Linked DNA regions of Caenorhabditis elegans. Changing the gene in region 2 together with the main gene of any one other region gives a genetic interaction. Each region holds a gene or a part of one and is shown on either strand. Other genes may lie near its edges.

Region 1 (8,838 bases), on a different chromosome or scaffold from region 2:
TCTTCTTCCTTCACAGTTTTCCTTATTCATCCCATTCACCGGGTCACTTCACTTCAATATGAGAATCATCATCATCTGTCTCATTTTTCTGGCATTCTTGGTTAATCTAGTGGATAGTGTATGTAAAGCAGGTTAGTTGCCATTTGTATTCTAATCCATCAAACAAATTCGATGTTTGTAGAGGATTACTGTCCCGGAGGTTGGAATGTGATGAGAAAGGCAGATGATACCCCACAGACTTGTGACGCAATGGGCGGAGTCAAATGTCAAAAACCGTATTCGTGTGTGCATTCTAGATGTGGAATGGATTTCTGTTGTGCTCACACTTGTAAGTGCAAATATGAATGTTGAAAGTAAATCAAATTGTGCTTTTCCAGATAAAATTGACCAATGGAAGCGACAACAAGAAATTGAAGCCGACATTAAAGAAGCAGAAATGGAAGATGCTGAGCTCTGAAAATTGTTCTTTATTTCGTTTTTTCCTCACGTTTGAACGTCAATGTTTGCTCATTGCTCTCTTGGATTAGCTTTATTTGCAGAAACGTTTTTCACTTTTCCTATTCGCTCAATTTCTTTTTTTTTTCAAACTTTCTCCATAAAAAATATTGTGTTTTATTTTTGAAAACGAAGCAAGTCAAAAGGACGTTATTGAGAAAAAGAGTGAGAAAAGTTCACACCGATAATTTTTTACTCTAAAGCGACAAACATAGTTGAAGTGGATGAAATTTGAATTTCGCGCGCACTGACTGTTATATAAACTTGTTTTTTTTTAACAAACAGAAAGTTTTGTATTAAAAAAATCAATCTAGAAAATGAAAAACTTGAGCGTCTACTTAAAATTATAATAAATTTTCAAGCATATTCTCTCATTTTTCAAAAAAATGTTCAGTTTCTCTTTTAATTCCTCAGTATGCACTGCATTATAAGCTTTGATGTTTTCCCCATTTAAACTACTCCCTCTTTAAAACATATTTAACACTTGATTACCCATCAAAATCCCGATTAATTCGATCAAGATGTTTGGAAATTTGAGAATGGGAAATCTGATTAGTTCTTGATAAATTTGGTTTTTATATATTTTTTTAATATTTTTCACTCTGTGAATAGACATGAAAATACAACAAAAAAATTTAAAAATTGAAAATCTTCTGGAAAACTTTTGAATTAGTTTTTCAAAAAGTTGGCAGTAGGCTTCAAAAACTCAAAAAATTGATTTCAAAAACTCAAAAAATTGATTTCAGTTTGAAAAGCGGCATTTTCAATATTCTAGAAGAACCTGATTTCAATTTTTAAAAGTTAAAATTAGAAAAAAGTTTTGCTATAGTAAATAAACACCGTAGTTTTTGTTAGTTTCATAACCATGTGAATCCAATAGATCACTGTTCAAAAATTGTAGAAAAAGTCAACAAAAACAACACCAGAGATCAGAGCCATGCGATTGATTTGAGAATTTAAAATCATTCAAACCTTCCACGCAGGCCGAAGTAACTGATCTGGAAGTTGTGCTTTATAAAAAAAACAGACATAGTTCAGTACTTAAAGCGGAAAACATTGTGGACACGCAGATTGTGCTTGTGTTTTTGGTTGAGGGTTTATTTTACTGATAGCCTATATCTGACGTACTGATATGTATTTCATGTTCTTCTACAAACGTTTATTGAAAACTAGTAACTTCTCCGTATCTGCTCTTGACTGTGTCTAATCGTTACAACACTTTTCAATTGGGCTTGTAAATTAGCCTCAAGGTTACGTGGTAAGGCGAGACACACTTCCGATTCTTTCACAGTACTTCTCACCGATTTGTTGCCCATTGCAATGATGCCTAATTCCTTCGGCCTGTTTACGTGTTTAGAGGGCAACACGTAGATGCATGTTCTTCTCTGGTGTTCTCTCTTCCCATCTCACACTCCCTCACTCGGTTCCATCGCTTGTCACCGTACGCCAGACAACTACTCTCTACAAAAAACACACTGCCTCACCCCCTCTCCCCCTATCTGCTGTCCACCACCTGCACCATTCGGCGGGGGTGATGGCGATTGGAGACTGGGGTGACCGACCGAAACCATTAAATCGACGCTCACTGTTGCGTGTATGTGTGTGCCCTCCCTTTCTCCTCCTTTCGCCCAGAAAAACACTCACACAAACAATATCGATTCGAGTATAGTGTGCAAGGTGAAGAGACGGAGGGCCCGACGGGGTGAGCACACAAACAACATTGGTTTGAATTTTTTCTGCCTTGCGATGTTTCGAAAAGTTGCGTATTTAATTTGTTGTGATGTGATATGTTTTGTTTTTTTTGCCAGTTTTTTTCTCTTAAATTTCATAATAAAATCAGGCAGTATTATATATTCTTTTCTCAGCCCATCAAAACCAACAGGTGATTATAATCGTGAGAAACACGAACGTCTCCCAGTCTTCTTCCTTCTCAAGCCCTTTTGTCTTCATAAAAGTGTTTGCTCGTTCTGTAAAGCGCACAGATTTTGGTGCGATGAATCATGCGTAGTTCAAAATCAAACAAAGACAGAGACTCGATGCTTGCAAGTTTTGTTACTTTTTTATTCTCACTTCAATACTTCTTTTTTCACCGCTCTTTAATATCTTTAATATCTTCCTTAAAATTGTGTTTTGCAGGTACTATGGCTCCCGCAACGGAAGCCGACAACAACTTCGACACCCATGAATGGAAATCGGAATTCGCATCCACACGCTCTGGACGCAATTCTCCAAACATTTTTGCAAAAGTTCGCCGGAAGCTTCTCCTGACTCCACCAGTTCGAAACGCCAGATCGCCACGTCTTACCGAAGAAGAGCTGGATGCTTTGACAGGCGACTTGTATGTTACCCCCCTCCCCCTTTTTCTCATTCAAATTTCGCGCCACATACGGCCGAGGTTTCACGCGCACCTGCTAGGCCACGTTTTGTTTGTGTATTTTGGAACTCAGTTTGCTTGTACTTGACGCCCTAGAAGCCTTTGACAAATATGTAAAAGCTGTGTTGTTCTGAGCAGTGAGGTGGAAAAGAGGAAAAGTAGAACACCAGAAAGTATCGGGTTACAAGGGTGGGTTAAGGCGAAGGAATCTGAGCGGGAAGAAGAAGAATAAAGGTCACTTACCAGTGAGCTCTTGGTGGTTCCGTTTCTTTTTGAGTTTTAAGTCTGTGTGAATGTTGGTTGTTTAATTTTAAATATGTAGTGTTTACAAGTCTTGTATAAAAATTAGAAAACCAAGGCGAAACGAAACCTATAATAGAAGATTAACTTTTCCTGGCATTTTCAAATGTTGAACTTATATTCCTAATGTAATAAAATTTTCATAATTTCTTTTTCAGACCATACGCAACCAACTACACATACGCATACAGCAAAATCTACGATCCATCCTTGCCGGACCACTGGGAAGTGCCAAACCTTGGTGGTACTACTTCAGGATCACTCTCTGAGCAGGAGCACTGGTCAGCGGCCAGTCTCAGCAGACAGCTTCTCTATATCCTCCGTTTCCCCGTCTACCTTGTTCTTCACGTCATCACCTACATTTTGGAAGCTTTCTACCACGTCATCAAGATCACTAGCTTCACCATCTGGGACTACCTGTTGTATTTGGTGAAACTCGGTAAGTTGTTTTTCTGCAAAATGTTAGAATTAAAAAAAAAATTTTTTTTCAGCGAAAACTCGTTACTACGCCTACCAAGATCATCGTCGCCGTACAGCTCTCATTCGCAACCGGCAAGAGCCATTCTCCACTAAGGCTGCTCGTTCTATTCGTCGATTCTTTGAGATCCTTGTCTACGTCGTGCTTACTCCTTACAGAATGCTCACAAGAAGTAACAATGGCGTGGAACAGTACCAGTACCGTTCGATCAAGGATCAATTGGAAAATGAGAGAGCTAGCAGAATGACGACAAGATCTCAAACATTGGAAAGAAGCCGCAAGTTTGATGGATTATCGAAATCACCAGCACGCCGAGCAGCTCCAGCCTTTGTGAAGACTAGTACAATTACCAGAATCACTGCCAAGGTGTTCTCGAGCTCTCCATTCGGAGAAGGAACGTCCGAAAATATAACCCCGACTGTTGTGACTACTAGAACAGTGAAGCAACGCTCAGTTACCCCAAGATTCCGCCAAACCCGTGCCACTCGTGAAGCTATAACTCGAGCACTCGATACTCCGGAACTCGAAATCGACACACCACTCTCCACATATGGACTTCGAAGCCGAGGACTGAGTCATCTGAATACTCCTGAACCAACTTTTGACATTGGTCATGCTGCTGCAACTTCCACGCCTTTGTTCCCACAAGAAACTTACAATTATCAATACGAAGAAGCGACAGGAAATAAGATTAAAACTGCATTCACTTGGCTAGGTTACTTGATATTGTTCCCGTTCTTTGCGGCACGACATGTATGGTATACGTTCTACGATTATGGAAAGAGTGCCTACATGAAGCTGACCAATTATCAGCAAGCGCCAATGGAGACTATTCATGTCAGGTATGAACATTTTAAATTTATGATGACCGAGTTCAATTTTTTTCATGTTATTTATACAGAGATATCAACGAACCGGCACCAAGTTCATCAGATGTTCATGATGCTGTTGGTGTTTCTTGGAGAATTCGAATTGCCGATTTCTTGAGCTCATTCGTAGCAACAATCGTTGAAGCGCATCAAGTGGTATTTGCAATGTTCAAAGGAGGAATTGTTGAGACAGTTTCCTATTTTGGAGGACTATTTGCTGGTCTTACCGATAAGAAATCATCAAAGTTCTCGTGGTGTCAAATTCTCGGTCTACTTCTGGCTCTTCTCTTCGCCATCTTTCTCCTTGGATTCCTGACATCTGACAACACAGCAATAAGAGTTAAAGAAATTACCAAAGATAAGAATGCATCTAAGAAGTCGGAAGGATCCCTCCCAGCTGTGCCAATCTGGATTTCAGCTGCAAATCACGTTAAACATTACACATGGATGGTGAAGGAATTTGTTGTAGATATTGGTATGTTATAAATCTCATTTTTCTGTTCAGTGTAGAAAACAACATCTTTAAATTCCAGCATTTGACACGTACAACTATGGAAAGTCGACGATTGGTAGACTTGGCACTACTCCACGTTATGCTTGGGACCTGATTGCAAGCGGATGTGGCGCTGTTGGAAATGGCTTAAAATCTGTGCTCTCATCGAGTTTTCGATTCATCGATTTTTGTGCTGGAAAGCTATTTTACTATGGCTCAGATGGGTTCTTGTCAGCAAACAAGTCTATCGGAACCTTTTTCAACGGTTGCTACGAGACCTTGTACAACGGATGCACAGCAATTGGTAAGGAAAATACAAATTGTATGCAGTCAAAATGTGGTAAAACTTTAAAAAATTAAAATTCGATCAATCCATTATGCTGGAAATCTTTAGTAATTTTCAACATCTTATCAATGGGACATGAGTATTAGCTTTTATTTTTCAGAACAGTAATTTACTTGGTATTTGTGAAATAGAAAACTGAATTCCAAAATGTTTGTAACGAATGAAATAAAATGGAAATAAAAGTGTTGAGCAACATGCTAGTATTATTTTATTTTTCAGGCTTAGAACTTATTAACTTTTTGAGTTATTAATTGAGTAGAATCCTAAGCCTAAAATACCATTCACGTTTTATTTAATTTTTTTTGAAACATCAAAAAACTTTTGTAGTACCAGCAAGTACCATTTACACGTAAAAAAATGATATTATCTGTTTTCACTATTTGTATTTACAACAAGAAAGACACTACAAAAAACCAAAGAAAATCGCTTTTTTTACAGTTGGCCATACAAAGAGCTTCATCTACAATGCTTCAAATGCTGTTTACAACTTTTTCTCAACTATCTTTGCCGGTCTCTTAAACTTTTCTACTTCTTCCCAAAACTCCATTCTTTCTCTTCTCAAGTCATTTGGCACCGGAATCACTAACATTTTTTGTAAGTGCTACAATTTTCAAACTATAAACTTAAATGGTGTTTTTTCTTCAGATAACTTCATTTATGCACCAATCGCTGGAGTGTTCAACTTTGCTGGTGATAACTACATGTATTTCTTCAATGAGGTAGCGGCAGTCTTTGGAAAAGTGTACAACTCCGTGGTTTCCGTGCTCAAAACTGTAATTAACTGGATTCTCTTCCTCATTGCCTACCCATTCAGTTTGTGCACTCGTGCTTGGATTCGCATCAGCCAATATGCTCCAGAAGATGTTGTTCAAGTGATTCCAATTCCACAAGCTATTACCCCAACTCCGGATGTGGAGCGTATTGTTGAAGAGCCACTGAGAAAAGTCACCGATGTGGAGGACGAAGAACTAGTGATAATTCCCGCCCCCGCACCTAAACCTATCCCAGTCCCAGCGCCAACTCCGGCCCCAGTAATTATCCATCAGACTAACGTTGTTGAGACTGTTGACAAAGATGCTATCATTAAGGAGGTAACGGAGAAGGTAACTAACTAATCAATTATTGAATGATTGATGTTTTGTACATATGTACATAATAAAGATTTTTGTTATTTTTAGCTTCGCGCCGAGTTGTCCGCCCAATTCCAGCAAGAGCTTAGCGCAAAGTTTGAGCAAAACTACAACACAATTATTGAGCAACTGAAAATGGAAAACACCAACATTCAATATGATAAGAATCATTTGGAAGCTATCATCCGTCAAATGATCTACGAGTATGACACGGATAAAACTGGGAAAGTTGACTATGCCCTGGAGAGCTCAGGTGGAGCTGTTGTGTCAACAAGATGCTCGGAGACGTACAAAAGCTACACAAGGCTGGAAAAGTTTTGGGATATCCCAATCTACTATTTCCATTACTCTCCAAGAGTTGTCATTCAGGTGAGCGCTTTAGGATCCTCTGACTCCAAGCCTATTATCTTTTCATTTTCAGAGAAATTCCAAATCCCTGTTTCCTGGGGAATGCTGGTGCTTCAAAGAATCCCGTGGCTACATTGCTGTCGAGCTGTCTCATTTCATTGATGTTTCTAGCATCAGCTATGAGCACATTGGATCAGAAGTTGCTCCAGAAGGGAACCGGTCGAGTGCTCCAAAGGGAGTCCTCGTTTGGGCTTACAAGCAGATTGACGACCTGAACTCGAGAGTTTTGATTGGCGACTACACTTATGATCTTGATGGCCCGCCACTTCAATTCTTCCTTGCCAAGGTAAGTCCGAATGATTAATTCTTGACAAGTGTGTGGCTATTATCGAATTAACATTTTCAGCACAAACCCGATTTTCCTGTCAAGTTTGTGGAGCTCGAGGTGACAAGCAATTACGGAGCTCCGTTCACATGTCTCTACCGCCTTCGTGTTCATGGAAAAGTTGTTCAAGTTTAATTTATTTTGTTAATCTTGTTTTTATGGTCAAATTTTCAATTTCCATTGATCTGATTCCGAAATGTTTCAATTTCACCCCTCTCCTGCCAATTTTTCAAATCACAATTCATTTTCCCAAATTTTTCCAGTTCCCTTGTTATATTTTTAGCGCGTGTCCATTTTTTTTCAAAGTATAGAATATCATTACATTTTCATGCAGTTTACCGGTCTCCTGAATACTTGGCCTGAATATATTTGAATGCAAAACCAATCACTCTCTATTTCTCTGCAGCCTTTACCCCCTGATCTCAAAATACTTTATCGATTTTCATAAATTATTTCAATATCTTTTGTTCTTGTAAAACTGAACTAAAACCCATTATGTGGAAGAGTGAATAAGTGTTAGATTGGCATAACAAACCGTAACCGATGGATTCGCAGCAAACGACATTAATTGAGTATACCGCCTAACACATTCATTGATCATTTCTTTTGTATTCCTCGGGCTATATATACTAAACCATGCGAGAGCGTTAACATTGTATTTTCTTCAATTTTCATGGAGTCCTGTGTAGATTTAAAATTACGAATTTTCAAATTTGTGGCGTACTCTGTCGTTGGAAGCTCAGTAATAGCTACAGCGTTTCTTTGTGTAACACTACCGTTGATTTACGAGCATGCACAAAATGGAATGATGACTATTAGCAGAGAAGGAGCATATTGCAAGGTGAGTGATAAACTAAGCATTAGTAATGTTTTGTGCTGAAATAGTTTTTAGTAGTGTATACCTGAACATTTTAGTAATTGAAGTTCTTCCTAGCAAAACATAATTGTCATTTTACATAGAAGTTTGCGGCAATTAAGAGTATAATATTTTCAGAAGTCTATAAACGAAATCTGGTTTGATATGACCGAAGATGTCGACATCGTCCACAATCGAACAATTCGCGAAGCTTACACTGTTACTAGAGGTGAAGGTAACACTGGTTACGCTGTTGGAAGAGGAAGCAATATTAAACCCCGCGGCTATAATACTGGGTATAGATCCCAGAAAAAGAAGAATAATGGTTGGAGAAGCCCACCACGCAGCGGAATTGTTGTTGCGTCAGAAGGAGGAACCTGCATGGGATGCTGCAATCCAGGTCCTCCCGGTCCATCTGGCCACCCAGGAAAACCAGGTCGACCAGGAAGACCAGGTGGTCACGGGATGCCAGGAATGCCCGGACTAGGCGCATCGCCTTGCCAACCTAGAACTCAATCACAGTGTCAACAATGTCCACAGGGACCCCCAGGCCCTCCAGGTCTGAACGGACAGCCCGGCCTGCCCGGTGGAATGGGGCCACCAGGTCAGTCAATGTCAAACGTACTACCAGGACCTCTAGGACCACCAGGACCGCCCGGGCAGCCTGGTAACCACGGTTTGGCAGGGCAACCAGGAAGTCCTGGACAATCGGTGCTGGGCGGAATCGTCGGGTTTGCTGCACCAGGCCCAATGGGTCCTCCTGG
Region 2 (6,875 bases):
AGAGGAACATAGAAGCAAGAGGAACGATGAGAATCACAAGACTATACGTGAGAAGGTTCTTGACAGCGGATTGGACTTCCTGATCACGAAAGTTCGGGAACAGAGTTGCCATTGTTGATGGTTCGGATGAAGAGGAAGTGGTCATTTCGCTGCAAACAACTCGGTATATCCATGGGTTTAAAATCAAATAATTATTATTGGAATAAAAAATAAGATTATTAAGGGGAGAATAGGTTCATACCAAGGTTTCTGGGAGAATCTTACCGAAAATTTGTTTTTTTTTAATTAAAAAAAATCCCGGATATCCCGAGTTGAATCCAGCGGCGCCAAAAGTAAAGGAAATCAAGAGATACAAAATTTGACAATTTCAAATTAAAATATAGTAAAGCGAAAACTACGCTTCAGAGAGAAAAATTCAATTAGTAAGGAAAAAATATAACAAAAAAAATTTATTCGTTATGTACAAAAGCATCTAGCCAGAGGCACTAATATAAATAGAACGGGTCGAAGTGATCACAAATAAGTAAACGAGGTCCAAACGGGAAGTGAATGTTCAGGAGGAATTTTTGAAGAAGATAATACACAGCCACGCTATTCTTTCTTTTTCTCTGCTCTGAGTTTGTCTTCGGCGTCTTTCTCTTCTTTCCATGCAATATAACAGAAAGCGGCAGCAATGAGAATTACGACCAAGGCAGCACATACTCCGGCATAAAGCATGGCTTCTGCTGGTGGTAAATGGAAGTGGTCTGAAACAAATTATCTATAAAATTGATTCTGGAAAAGTCCACTTACCGATGAATACCCAATAATACAAGCTTGCCATAACAAGCAGTGGAAGTGTGAACATCATTGCAGAAAATGCGATGAGCAGAGTTATAGCTCTATTCGAATGCTCTGCTGTGTAGAATTGTTCTTGATCGGGTCGAATCGGTGCTTTCAGTGCCTCTTCTACTAGGTCCTCACCGTCTTTCTCTTTCGGCCGATTTGCGTCGTCTTTAATTGACTGATCAACGAATGGAAGCTTCATCTCCTCTTCAACTTCATCATCTTCCTCTTTCGCCGATTTGTCAGCATTGTCATCCTCGTTTTCACTGACAGATTGACTACCTAAACTATTAATTCACTAAACAAAAAACATATATTTGTAAAATACCATTTTTCTTTTCATCAACAGCTTCAAAACTATCTGAAGTGCTGGATTTTCGTTCAGCTCCGTCGATCAGCTCGAAGTCTTGCTCCTGTTCTGGAGTATCGCTCATTCTGGAAAGATTTAAATACAACCGAGGAACCAGAAGAGCGCATGAAAATATAGAGCGTGTAATTTAACGTCAGTTATTGACAGAGAAAATAGAATTACGAAAGACCAAATCGGGCAACGAGGAAAACGTTTAACACAAACACAACACTGAAAATAAGCAAGAAAAGGAGGAAGTTATCGGAAAACCGAAGAACTTTCAACTTCGGAAAGAACCGTTTAATTTATGTTTAAAATCAAACAAAAAATTCCCGAAACATCCCTTTTAAACTTTGATTTTCACGAAAAACAACGAATGACCGAAAAATGTGATCAATCTCTGAGAGTGTGCACTTTTGCGTGACGGTGAACTGTCCGCGTGCACCAGATTCGACGCGCAAAATAATCGGCGCGAGGTTCGAACGAACGTTCGTGAATTTGTGGGAGCGGTTTTTAATGTTTAAAAATCAGTTTTGGTTTATTTTATTTGAAAAAAAAAACGATAAAAGCTATATTCCAGCAGTATCTAAAATGATCTTCTTTTAATATTCTAATTTTAATGTTTTAAAATTCATTTTTCGCTGCAGCAAAAAGTTGGTGTTTGCGTACAAAACCCGCGCCAGTCTTGAAAAACGCACGCATTATTTATTCACATGTTTCGCAATATTTCCATATGAACTTCTCAACATCACCAATTTAAATTAAGTTACAGGAATGCCGCCTAAAAAGGTATCTCCCGGGATTACCGTAATCCTTATCGACGCAGGATCCAATATGTCTGTGAAAGACACTGAAACTGGAAAAAGTGCATTTGAAAATGCGATCAATGCTGCAGATTGGATTGTTTCGAGAAAAGTGATACTAAAATTCGAGAAAACTTTCAAAGAAAAAATTGTTTTCAGCTATTTTCCAAAGATCCCGAGCTCTTCTCAGTGATGGCCTACAATTTGGATCCGAAAGAATACAAAACAGAAGTTGGCGGTCAAACATTTAATGGAGTCCAGTGTCAAAATGAAAAGTTTACACCAGCCAGCTTTGATCATTTAAAGTTTATCACAAAGGAATTGCAGCAAAATACAGAAATGATAGATCCAAATTGTGAGAGAATATCCAAGACAAATTCAAAAATCCTATTTATTTTTTTCAGTTTTCAAAGGTGTTCTGGGAGCCGTCGCAGTGCTAAAAGATCAAATCGAATCGTATCCGAATCCATCAGGAATCACGTTGATTGTACTGACAAATGGATTAAACGAGAACATTCGACAAGAAAATTTCGATCTTTTAGTTGAAGCCGTTAGTGAAAGTAATGCAGATTTGATGATAATGTAAGATTTTTCCATTTTAGCGTTGAAAAAAAAATACTTATTCCAGTGGAATCGATGAAAATCCAGAATATCCTGCTTCTCGAGTTGCAGAATTGGCAGAAACATTAGAAGGAAGAACATATACTTTTCAGTGAGTTTTTAAAAATAAAATTGGCGATTTTTGCGCCAAAAATACGGAATCTAGACACGCTTTTTGCGAAATGTTCATCGATTTTCCATAATTTTTCGTTAAAAAAAACTGAAATAATGGTTTTTAAAAACACATAAATATTATTTGAGAAATCTTTAAAAATTCCACAACAACGAAAATTTAAAATAACAGTACCCTTTAAAGGAACACGCTTGTTTGTATCTAACAATAATTGTCGTGTCAAGACCGGCTACCGTATTTTCGGCGCAAATACTATAACATTTCGCGCCTGGAGTAATATCATCATAATTACAATTTCCAGAAACGTCGCAAAGATGCTCTCCACCTTCCAGGCTCGTCAGAAATCCGAGAGAAAATACAATAAAATGTGGGATGTAAGAGTTTTTGAAGAAATCTAATCTAATACAATAAAAATAACGTTCAGATTGCTCCTGGAATCCATCTCCCGGTGATTTTTGCTCTAAAATCTGAAAAATCTACAGCACTACTCAAGTTCAAAAATGCAGATTCCGAAGGAAATGAAATGGTTCGATTGGAACAAATGCACGTGGAAACTGACGAAGTTGCTCCGAAAGATGAATTCAAATCGCCGGTTCTGGAAGAGAAACCGAAATTTCAGAAAAACTTTAAACCCGTTGAAAATATAAAAACTATGCATGGTAGTGAAATTCTAAATTTTTTAAAATCTATTATTAATGCGTCAGGCTACAATTTCGGAAAATCGGTTATCATGATGGACCCAGAATATCTTAAAGAAAAATACAATGATCATAATTTCAACGAGGGACAGACTGGTGGAGTGCTAAAACTGATACAGTTCACGAAAAGAGCAAATGTAAGATATGACATGGTCTCGCAACGACGGAGAATGTTAAATTAGAGGCGACGAAAAAAGGGTGTGCGCCTTTAAAGAGTACTGTAATTTCAAAATTTCGTTTCCGTTGAAATTTCATCGATTTTTCACAGTTATAACACGATATTTTGAAATTTGTATTTTAAAATAGACAAATCATGGTCATTTTTTTGAGAAAAAAACCGAAAAACTAATCACGAAATTTTACCAAAAAAATCTCATTTCAGATCCAGTTGTCACAATAATAATTCCGACCAAAAACAAATTTCTCCGAAAAAATCGGTGTCTTACCTCTCTTCTAAAATTAGCATTTTTGAAAAAAAAATAACGTTTTTTTTACTTTTTGGTTCAAAATCACAACAAAAGAAAGATAGCCATTCATAAATCGCAAAATTTCGCATCTCATAATTGTAATAATTATTTCTAGATTCTCGACTCATATCTCCTCGATGCCAGCGCGAAAACAGTACTTCCTGCTCTCAATTCACCAAAATCAGGTGCCACCAAAGCTACCGTATCCCTCATCGAAGCAATGCTTTCACTTCGAGTCGCTGCCATTTGTCGATACACATTCCATGCAAAATCTCATGTGCAACTCATTGCTCTTCTACCACATCAAGATGAAGAAACTGGCGTTTTCTATCTAAGATCAGTGAAATTACCATTTTCCGATGATATGAGAACATTGAAATTCCCGAAATTCTCATTTGACGAGGAAGATGAAGATTTGAATAAGCCTACTGGTATATATTCATTCAGACTTTTGAATTTAACAAAAAACTAATTAAATTTCAGTAGCTCAACTCTCCGCTGTAGATGACCTTATCGATTGTATGCAATTACAAGAAGATGAAATGTTTGAATTTCAGAAAAATATTGTCCAATAAAAAATTGTTTTCAGCTCTTCACTGGTCGAAGGTGGAATGAGTGATCCAAAATTGCAGATGCAATGCCATTTTCTCAAAAGTTTAGTTCTACATCCAAACGGTACATATTCTTGTGAATTCGGTTTAAATGAAATAATATTATTGTCATTTCAGATACCTTCGAAAATCATTCCAATCGAACCAATCAAATTCTCGATCAAATAATGGCACCGAAACGCAGAGTCGAAGCAGAACATCCGGAGATTTTCCAGAAGCTTGGCCGCGAATTCAATCTGCAACCAATTCAGAAAACCAAACGAGAACGGGTTACGGTAGAGCCTGAAGATCTGCAGACAATGATATCCGAATGGACGGAGAAAAAACAGAATATGACACAACCAGATGAGGTAGATGATGGTGCAAGTCAAAAGAAAAAGAAAAAACCAAATGCAAAGAAATTGACGAGAAAAGAAGAAGTTCAAATGGATATCATGGAAGATGGCGGAGCTAGTCGTGTTTGCTCGAAAATTCTTGAAATGATTTCAAATACTTGCAAATTTCAACCAAATGGAGCAGTTACTGAGTTCTTTACGGTATTTTCAAAAATAGATTTTCAAAATAAAACTTTAAATTTTAAATTTACAGCTTCTCGTCAATGAATTGAATGTTATTCGCTCAGTTTTCGTTGAAAACTCAAAATGTGACGAGTTCAATGAACTTCTCAAGAAGTTGAAAGACGAAGAAGACTTTGAACCATTTGCTGAAGTTCTTTCTGAAGGTACTACCATTTCATGTCCACTTTTCTGCCATTCCTCATTCAACAAATTTCAGAAAAATCATGCAATCCAATTGATTCTTCCGAAGTCAGCATGTCAGAAGTCTCCGTCGCCAATGCTGCCGAATTCTGGGAAGAAGATTGAGCATTTTTATTTTATTTTATGGCAATGTATCTCAAATAACTAACTACAATCATTTTAAAGCTGTGAATGAACTGAAATGAAAATAAAATCATACTACCGTATCATGGTGATCACCCAAAGAACGCTTTTTAATGTGAAAGTCAGCATTTTTTTTATTTAGTACGTACAGTGAGAGGAAAAAGTAGGGAAAAGCAAGATGTAGGCTCGTAGGTAGGCGAAAATGTGATGTACCCAAGTGTATCGGTAGGCAGACTGGTAACAATAACAGAGAAGTACTCAAACATCGATCTTAATGTCTACCGACTTGTGTGCATAATGCATGCCTATAGGTATACCTATGCACCTCCCACAGGTTTCAATGCCTAGTTTATCGCCTACATCTAGCCAATGTGCCTGCCTACTATCTTTGACGGAGTTTGTGCCACTAAAATGACGACTCAGGTATTCACAAATTTAAGAAACAAGTTCAGTTTATTCAAATCTTCAATTTCAAGTAATAGATCAAGTTCCGATGGAAGTTTTAATCTTTCTCCTTTTTTCACTTCTTCTCGTATGCTTCCAGTTTATCGAGTTGATCATCTGGGCTTCTATCGCCGGTTGTCTTCTCCCGCTCACTTGACACTTCCCAACCGATTTCCATCTCTCGTTTCTCAAGTCTTTTAATAATTGCCAGATTCTCCTCAGAATCAATATCAGAGAGTGGTTCGACTTCAGATCCAGACGAGAGGGCCACTTCATCTATAACAAGAGTATGACCAACAATTACAATAATAATAAAAAATACCTTTAACAGAAAGAGCAACTAGATTCTCATAGTTTCTAAAATGTTCTCTTTCCTCTTGATCCAAGTCTTCGAAAAACTCAACTTCAGAATCCTCTTCAGACTTCAGACTCCATTTGAACTTCCTCTTCTCTTCTCCTTCATCAGTTGCACACGTAGACGAAGTCCACGTGGATAACGATGTGGCAGACGTAGAATCATATGAGCCTGTCATTGCCGACTGTGTACCAGTAAAATCATGTCTCATTCCCAACAAAAACTCGCGGGTGATCAGTCCGCGGCTGACCTTTTTTCCTCTTCCCGGCTTCGGCTTCGGTGGTTCAGATAATTTCTGAAAATTATAAATTTTCAAAGACTCGTTTATATTATCGCGACGCAGAAACTATAGTTTTGAAATCAAAGTTGGTACGATTGCGCTCCAATGAAAACTCTGCTCACCGGAATTTATATATCGTTAGGTATTGGCGTCAAAAACGTAAATTAAAATTTTCTACTAAAAATTTGAATTTCCGGATTTGCCGCCAATAAATAGTTTCATATTGTCGTGGAGCGCAATTGCACGCACTTTGCTTTCAAACTGCGGCATTCTCTATTTACGTCTCGAGATGGATCCATAATACTTACACTCTTCTCTTCTTCAGTTTTGTTCTCCTTTCTATCCTGCTTCTGTTTCTCCGGATCACCTTTCGCTCGACCTTTTTTATTCTTGACAACATCGGAAGGAGTTGAACGTCTTTCGACACCA
Region 3 (6,283 bases), on a different chromosome or scaffold from region 2:
AATTAGATTTCAACCATATTTGATTAGAAACTGAGCAAATATAATGGGGACATAATTAATAGGCTTATGGATTTTATTTGATTTGACAATATGGATTTTCTAACCAAATATGGTTAAAATCTAATCCAATATGGAGCAAATCTAATCAAATATGGCTGAGATCGTGCCATATTGGATTAGATTTCGACCATATTGGATTAGATTTGTTTTCTAATGAAATATGGAGAAAATCTAATCTAACATGGATTTCTAATCTAATATGGAGCAAATATAATGCAATATGGATTTTCTAAAAAATATGGTTGAAATCTCGTTGAATATGGTTGAAATCTAATTAGACGACTAAGCGTTTATCTGAGAAACTGGAAAAACCTAAAAAAAATCTGAAAATTTTCAGTTTTGTGTGGAAAAAATCAATGAAAAACTCAATCCTACAGTAATTTAAAAATTCTTTTTCACTAAAAAAATCAGTTCCCATTGAAAAAACAAACTGAAAATCAATTATTTCAGCTCTCAAATGGCAGTTGGGGCAATTCGGAGCACTCGACCGTCTTCACAATCGCCGCCTTGCTCTTTCTGCTCGTCATTTTTCTGCTTTTCGTCGCGATTTTCTACCAAATCGGAAATCTTCTCATCCCGCACATCGTCATGCAGATTCTGCTCGTTTTGTGCTTCCTGGGACTCACATGTGCGACGCTTTATGCGCTTTTCCACGGTGCCACGTTTCAGTTGCTCGTCGTGGTTACAAATCCGCAAATCGCCGCTGATTCCATGGTAAGTGTGGTAAAAAATGAAATTTGTTTCCTTGGGAAATTCCTTCTTTTTCCTCAATTTTTCCTCATTTTTTTGCTTCCAAAAAAAAGACCCATTTTGCGAAAAAAATTTTTTTTTTTCATTAATATATGTATTTTAAATTTTCCAGACAATTCTCCCGGCGCCAATGATCACAACAAACGTGGTTTCCGGATTCCTAGTGGGCCTTCTCGTCATTTTCGCAGTCTCCTACTTGCTCATCGCTGTGCTGAATGTGAGCTTTTCCCATGGCGAGACCCATGTAACTTTAATTTTTGCAGACCTGGTGCATGTACGTCGTCATCGATAGTTACCAGCTTTTGAAGAGCCAGAAACTTCAATCTCGTACTCCGTCGGTCGAGGAGTATTGTGCGCCGAAGACGATTCAACTCTCACTATACCCCAATCAAATCGTTCAGGCCACCGATTTTTAGTCTATATTTTAGACCATTTGTTGAATTTTTCTCGAAAAAATCCGGTAAATTTTTGTGTATATATGTCCCGAAATTCTTCACTTTTATCACATGTGTCAGGCTTTAATTTTTTCATACTTTATTTTCGAATTCTGTACAAAAATCTTTGATATATTCTATTTATTCTTCTCAATTAATAATCACACGATCCATCTTTCCACCCGTCTCGCCACCTTTGCATCACATCTCGACACTCGAACTTTGGTTTTCCGGTTTTTTCGTTGACTTTATTGTGTAGCTGGCACATCCATAGCGCAAACGCCTCGCGGCTTTCCACTTTTGGCGGCGATTCTTTCAGATCTTTTCGGAGATCTTTGGCGCAGAAATCGCAGGGATATGTCTGAAAAATTTAGGCGTTTTTGTGGGAATCTTGAGCTTATTAGCTAACTTTTCCTAGAATAGACATGAAACTTCTGGCTCGATCCTTATCCTCGTCGGTAGGCTTTTCCGGGTAGTAAACCGACATTGTGTGTAGCAAATTCCACGTGGATCTGCCTGAAATTTGAAATTTTTGGTGGAAATTTGAATTAAAAGCGAACCGAGCTCATCCTTGTCTACTGGACATCCGTGCAACTTCGCTCCTGTGCTCGTGCTCGGCGTCGTCTCGGATTCTGCAAAGAACTAAAATAATTGAGATTTTTTGCTCTGGAAATCTAGGGAAATCACCTTTTTTCTTTATTTTTTCAGCCATTTCTCTGCCTTTTTTCATCATATCCTCTACACTGACGCATGCACGACACGGCTTTCCATCTGGACCGATTTCCATTCTGAAATTAATTTTTAAACTTGGTTTTCGTTTCGTCAGTTTTAGAAGCCGTTTTAGGGCGTAAACTTATGAAACTATACATAGTCTACGACAAATCTATAGAAATGCATTAAAAATAGGTCAAAAATGTGAGAAATTGCGCAAAAAATGATGCAAAAACGAAAAAAAATTAACTAAAAACAAGAAATGCAAGTGCGCTCCACTGACACGCGTTAGAGAGCGTAGACGCAGAGAAATCTCGAGATGAGGGAAATCGTGGCGCGCGGGAATCAAGCTTTTTTGAATTGTCTTGATTTTTAAAGCCCAAAAAATAGATTTTTGGCGGATTTTTGGTGGATTTTCTTGCTTTGCAATGTAAAAATTAATTATTTGTTGCATCTAATCACTTTTAACAGAGATTTACAATTTTTTTAGTGGTCTGAACCTGGGAAAATCCTTCAAAAATCAATTTTCCCTACAAAAATTCGTTATTTACCGCATTTTCCGCCCAGCTGATCAAAAATTCTTCTATTTTCTCAATTTATTGATAACACTCGCCCACCTCAAGCATTTTATCACCTGAAACTCGTCACACTTTACAATTTGTTTGCAGAAATATGCGAAAATGAGCGTTACTCAGCTAAAAAATCTGAAACACGCGATAGCTCAGCTTCTGGAGTGGGATGGAACGAAAACGGCGAGAAAGGCAAGTTTTTGGTGGAATTTATCGAAAAAACCTGATTTGTTTTTTTGCAGAAAATCGTCGACGAGGTGGTTCTTCTCTATCACGCTCTGGGAGCGGAGGCATTAAGTGAGGATAACCAGGAGATATATGATTTGTATGATTTATCTGCACGTATATTCAACTTAGCTAAGAAAGTTAGTTTTTTTTTTGTTAAAAAGTCGTAAACAACAAGTAAATTTAAAAATAAGCATTAAAAAATATTGAGGCTTATGAGAGCAAAAAATTCCAGGAAATCGAAGAAGCCAACCAACAATTCGAAAAAGAACGAAAAAAGGGCACAAGACGAAGCGAAAAACCAGTCCCAACTCCACTTTTCGAGCTATCAATACAACATTTAAAACGTTGCTGTCAGCAGGGAATCGATCACAATCAGGTGCCATGGATAGCATATTGTCTGAAACTACTGGAATTTCCAATCACAATCACCGAAAAATCGATCGAAAACGAGATTTCCAACGTGCTCCTATTGAGCTCCAACGCCTCACAGCTCCATTGGGCCGAGCATGCTCATTTGAGCAGCTTATGGAAATGGATTTGGAGCCGTGTCGAGACCGCCGATATTGGGGCACTCGCCATGAGAAATTATATGGAATTGGCGGCGAACTTGCTGGAAAACGTGGATTACGTGGTTTTCGAGAAGTCGCCTATTGACCTGATGGCGAAAGTGATGGGAACACTGAAGAAAAGTGTGGAAATGGGAAATCCCAAAGAATAGTGCGTGGAAAACGAGTTCTTGAAATAATGTTCAAAAAATTCAAATTGGCTTGGACTTAGGCTTAAGCTTAAGCTTAGATTTAGGCTTAGGCATAGGCTTACAAGGGAAGTATTTCAACTTATTCCCGGACTTCAGAATGAAACCTATGTCATTTCGAAGAAGACTCTTTAAGTAGGTCCCTACAAAAAATTTAGCGGCAGAGGAGCACTTTGACCTGGAAAAAAGTCGCTCTGAAAACTTTTCAGTGCATTTTTTCACGGCTTTCAAGGCCCGTAAAATGGCTCCAAATGCGAATTTTTGTAGATTTTTGAAGATTTCTAGGATGCTCAGGGGCCGGAGAGCACTCGGAATTTTTTTTGGAATTTTTTAAAATTTTCGAAAAAATCTGAAATTTTTTGAATAAGTCCATGGCAAAATTTTTCAGTGAATATATATATATATTTTTTTTAAATTTCAGAAAAGTTGTCAGTTATTTAAGATCAAAATTGGGTGTTTTTACACAATGAAAATTTTTTTGAGATTTTTCGGAACTGCAAAAACCAATTTTGGAAAAAAATCGGCACCCGGAGTCGAACCCCAGTCTTAAAAAATATTAATCAAACTCGCTAACCACTCGGTCATTCAACGACAATTTTTCTTGTAAATGAAATGGATGACAAAAAAACGTGACTCTTTGATATCTACTTAAATATATAGGGACGTGAGAAATAGCTTTGGAAAAGGAGAGGACGCAGAGAAAAATTTTCAGAGCGACTTTTTTCCAGTTCAAAGTGCTCCTCTGCCGCTAAATTTTTTTGTAGGGGCCTACTTAAAGGGTCTTCTTCGAAATGACATAGGTTTCATTCAGAAATCCGGGATTAAGTTGAAATACTTCCCTTGTTAGGCTCACTAGGGAATGACCAGAATAAATGGAGCGATATTCAAAAAAAATATATTGTATCGGAAAGCTGGCATTCTCTACTATAAGAATATGACTGAAATTTTTGCCCGTTCGGGCTGGAAATCTGAAATTTTTACGTCTGAAATTCTACACTGAAATCAGTGCATTTCCTATGGTTAACAGTGGATTTTTGTCTCTGGCGCCAACAGAAGTCTCACCACAATGGTGGAAGGGCGAAAACATCGGTTCGGTGGTCGAGTGGTGAACGCGTTCGCCTCTTGAGCAGAAGTTTGTGGGTTCGGTTCCCATACATGGTTTAACTTTTGGCCTTTTTTATACAAAATTTTCAGAACGGGAAACAAGTATTTAGAACATTTTTTTGAGGGTTTTACATAATTTTTTTGCTTTTTAATTGAACCATAATTACCCTGGAAACTTTTCAGAAATTTTAATTTTTTTCGAAAATTGTCACTTTTTTCTCCACCAAACCCATGAGAAAATTTGATCGAAAAATTTTTTTTTGAAATTTTTTTAAAAATGCATGAAATATTTTAGAGTGTCACAAATAACCTATTTTTCATTATTTTCAATGACCGAATCATTGATTCTGATGCCTTATCAAGACGTTTTACCAAATCGATATTGGCAAAACATCTTGTTTTTGAGGCTCCATATCTCTGCAGGAAAAAATCGCACTAAAAAGTGATCAACTAGAAACTTGTTAAACACAATGTGATCTAAAACATTTCAGTTGAACACTTTTTTGTAAAAAATTTCGTTGCCGAGTTGGAACCAATTGATTTGAGCTTCATTATTTTTGAATATTCTAAATAGTTAAAGATCTATATCTTGGCAACGAAATTTTTTACAAAAAAGTGTTCAACTGAAAAGTTTCAGATTACATTGTGTTTAACAAGTTTTCAGTTAATCACTTTTTAGTGCGATTTTTTCCTGCAGAGATATGGAGCCTCAAAAACAAGATGTTTTGCCAATATCGATTTGGTAAAACTTTATTTTAATTTTTTTTTTTCATATTATTGTTTTTATATTGGGTCAAAACGTATTTGCTCTGCTAAATAGTTAGCTGGCGCTAATTTTTAATTTTATTATTTTCGTATTTTGATAAATTTCACTGAAATTGTCACTTTAATAGTTTACATTCTATTGGTTTTCTTTTATTCAATGTCTTTTGATATCGGAAACGTGATGTTTGCCTTGCATCGTCATTTTCCCAATCCCCTCCCATCAAATCCCTCGATTTCGAGACATGAGCAGAAGGTGGCAGATCATTTGGCAAGCATTATAAAGGAATCTTATTATGGAGATACCAGTGTGGAAGAATCCGAATATTTGGTTCAAGAAGAATATGGCGATTGGGAGCCAGAAGTTTTTGAGGTATGTTGGTTTCGACACTATTAATTGTCATTTAAAAAACCTTTCAGCCGTATGACTGTGTGTTGCCGGATCAAGATGATGTATTGTTCGGTGAGAAAGCTGTATCAAGGGAAGAGTTGGATAAAGCGATCACCTTCTACCGTAGCGGAAAAATTGGAAGTAGGCCGATAACGACTATGCACCATAGTTATCGCTGGATACGAACCGATGCTCATATGAACAAACTGCGCAAGTACGAGAAAGATAAAAAAGCGTTCCAAGAAAGCGTGCGGGTTCGTTTGGCACAGCTTACACAACGGCTTTATGAGGAGGTCAAGGAGAAACTTGATAATGGTAACGAACATTAATATAACAAGTTTTAATATAAATATTTCAGGAGTCAATTTGCATGATTCTGATTTGATGGCTATGGCACTGGAAATCAACACCCGCGAAATGAAGTTGCAAAAACAAAACGAAATGAAGTTGCAAAAAGCGTCACAATCCTGGATAACCCGATGGAAGCAAAGCCACAGGTATGTAATAAATTGCGGAGTAT

What was found. A genetic interaction does not mean that the proteins touch.
Region 1: of cku-80 (region 2) and unc-84, changing one suppresses a phenotype caused by changing the other (phenotypic suppression), as found in Caenorhabditis elegans (one study listed by BioGRID).
Region 3: changes in cku-80 (region 2) and atm-1 impair growth when combined (synthetic growth defect), as found in Caenorhabditis elegans (one study listed by BioGRID).

What each region holds. Positions count from the first base shown.
Region 1 is NC_003284.9:13,582,144-13,590,981, forward strand, and holds unc-84 (Nuclear migration and anchoring protein unc-84), read left to right. Parts: upstream 1-2,631; 5' UTR 2,632-2,636; coding exon 2,637-2,833; intron 2,834-3,327; coding exon 3,328-3,608; intron 3,609-3,660; coding exon 3,661-4,489; intron 4,490-4,548; coding exon 4,549-4,991; intron 4,992-5,049; coding exon 5,050-5,313; intron 5,314-5,793; coding exon 5,794-5,949; intron 5,950-6,000; coding exon 6,001-6,458; coding exon of another isoform or gene 6,459-6,470; exon of another isoform or gene 6,471-6,528; intron 6,529-6,533; coding exon 6,534-6,854; intron 6,855-6,906; coding exon 6,907-7,179; intron 7,180-7,239; coding exon 7,240-7,353; 3' UTR 7,354-7,678; downstream 7,679-8,838. Other genes in the region: srf-5 (WAP domain-containing protein), read left to right, coding at 59-131, 182-328, 378-457; col-9 (Nematode cuticle collagen N-terminal domain-containing protein), read left to right, coding at 7,892-8,059, 8,213-8,838. UniProt on the Caenorhabditis elegans protein: Involved in nuclear migration and anchoring in hypodermal precursor cells. Most likely recruits anc-1 to the nuclear envelope where anc-1 functions to tether the nucleus to the actin cytoskeleton.
Region 2 is NC_003281.10:4,417,908-4,424,782, forward strand, and holds cku-80 (ATP-dependent DNA helicase II subunit 2), read left to right. Parts: upstream 1-1,940; 5' UTR 1,941-1,948; coding exon 1,949-2,089; intron 2,090-2,136; coding exon 2,137-2,332; intron 2,333-2,381; coding exon 2,382-2,559; intron 2,560-2,605; coding exon 2,606-2,689; intron 2,690-3,011; coding exon 3,012-3,084; intron 3,085-3,134; coding exon 3,135-3,369; intron 3,370-3,414; coding exon 3,415-3,545; intron 3,546-3,990; coding exon 3,991-4,306; intron 4,307-4,358; coding exon 4,359-4,419; intron 4,420-4,464; coding exon 4,465-4,550; intron 4,551-4,603; coding exon 4,604-5,022; intron 5,023-5,074; coding exon 5,075-5,207; intron 5,208-5,260; coding exon 5,261-5,349; 3' UTR 5,350-5,468; downstream 5,469-6,875. Other genes in the region: R07E5.19 (Vacuolar ATPase assembly integral membrane protein VMA21 homolog), read right to left, coding at 1-145; R07E5.7 (vacuolar ATPase assembly integral membrane protein VMA21), read right to left, coding at 592-746, 793-1,107, 1,154-1,259; C28A5.6 (Protein kinase domain-containing protein), read right to left, coding at 5,888-6,087, 6,134-6,461, 6,755-6,875.
Region 3 is NC_003279.8:180,741-187,023, forward strand, and holds the start of atm-1 (Serine/threonine-protein kinase ATM), read left to right. Parts: upstream 1-2,623; 5' UTR 2,624-2,635; coding exon 2,636-2,716; intron 2,717-2,766; coding exon 2,767-2,889; intron 2,890-2,984; coding exon 2,985-3,469; intron 3,470-4,594; exon of another isoform or gene 4,595-4,669; intron 4,670-6,283. Other genes in the region: F56C11.5 (MARVEL domain-containing protein), read left to right, coding at 511-774, 923-1,027, 1,074-1,226; F56C11.3 (Sulfhydryl oxidase), read right to left, coding at 1,399-1,605, 1,654-1,760, 1,805-1,876, 1,932-2,031. UniProt on the Caenorhabditis elegans protein: Serine/threonine protein kinase which activates checkpoint signaling in the presence of DNA double strand breaks (DSBs) and other forms of DNA damage induced by ionizing radiation and other genotoxic stresses such as UV.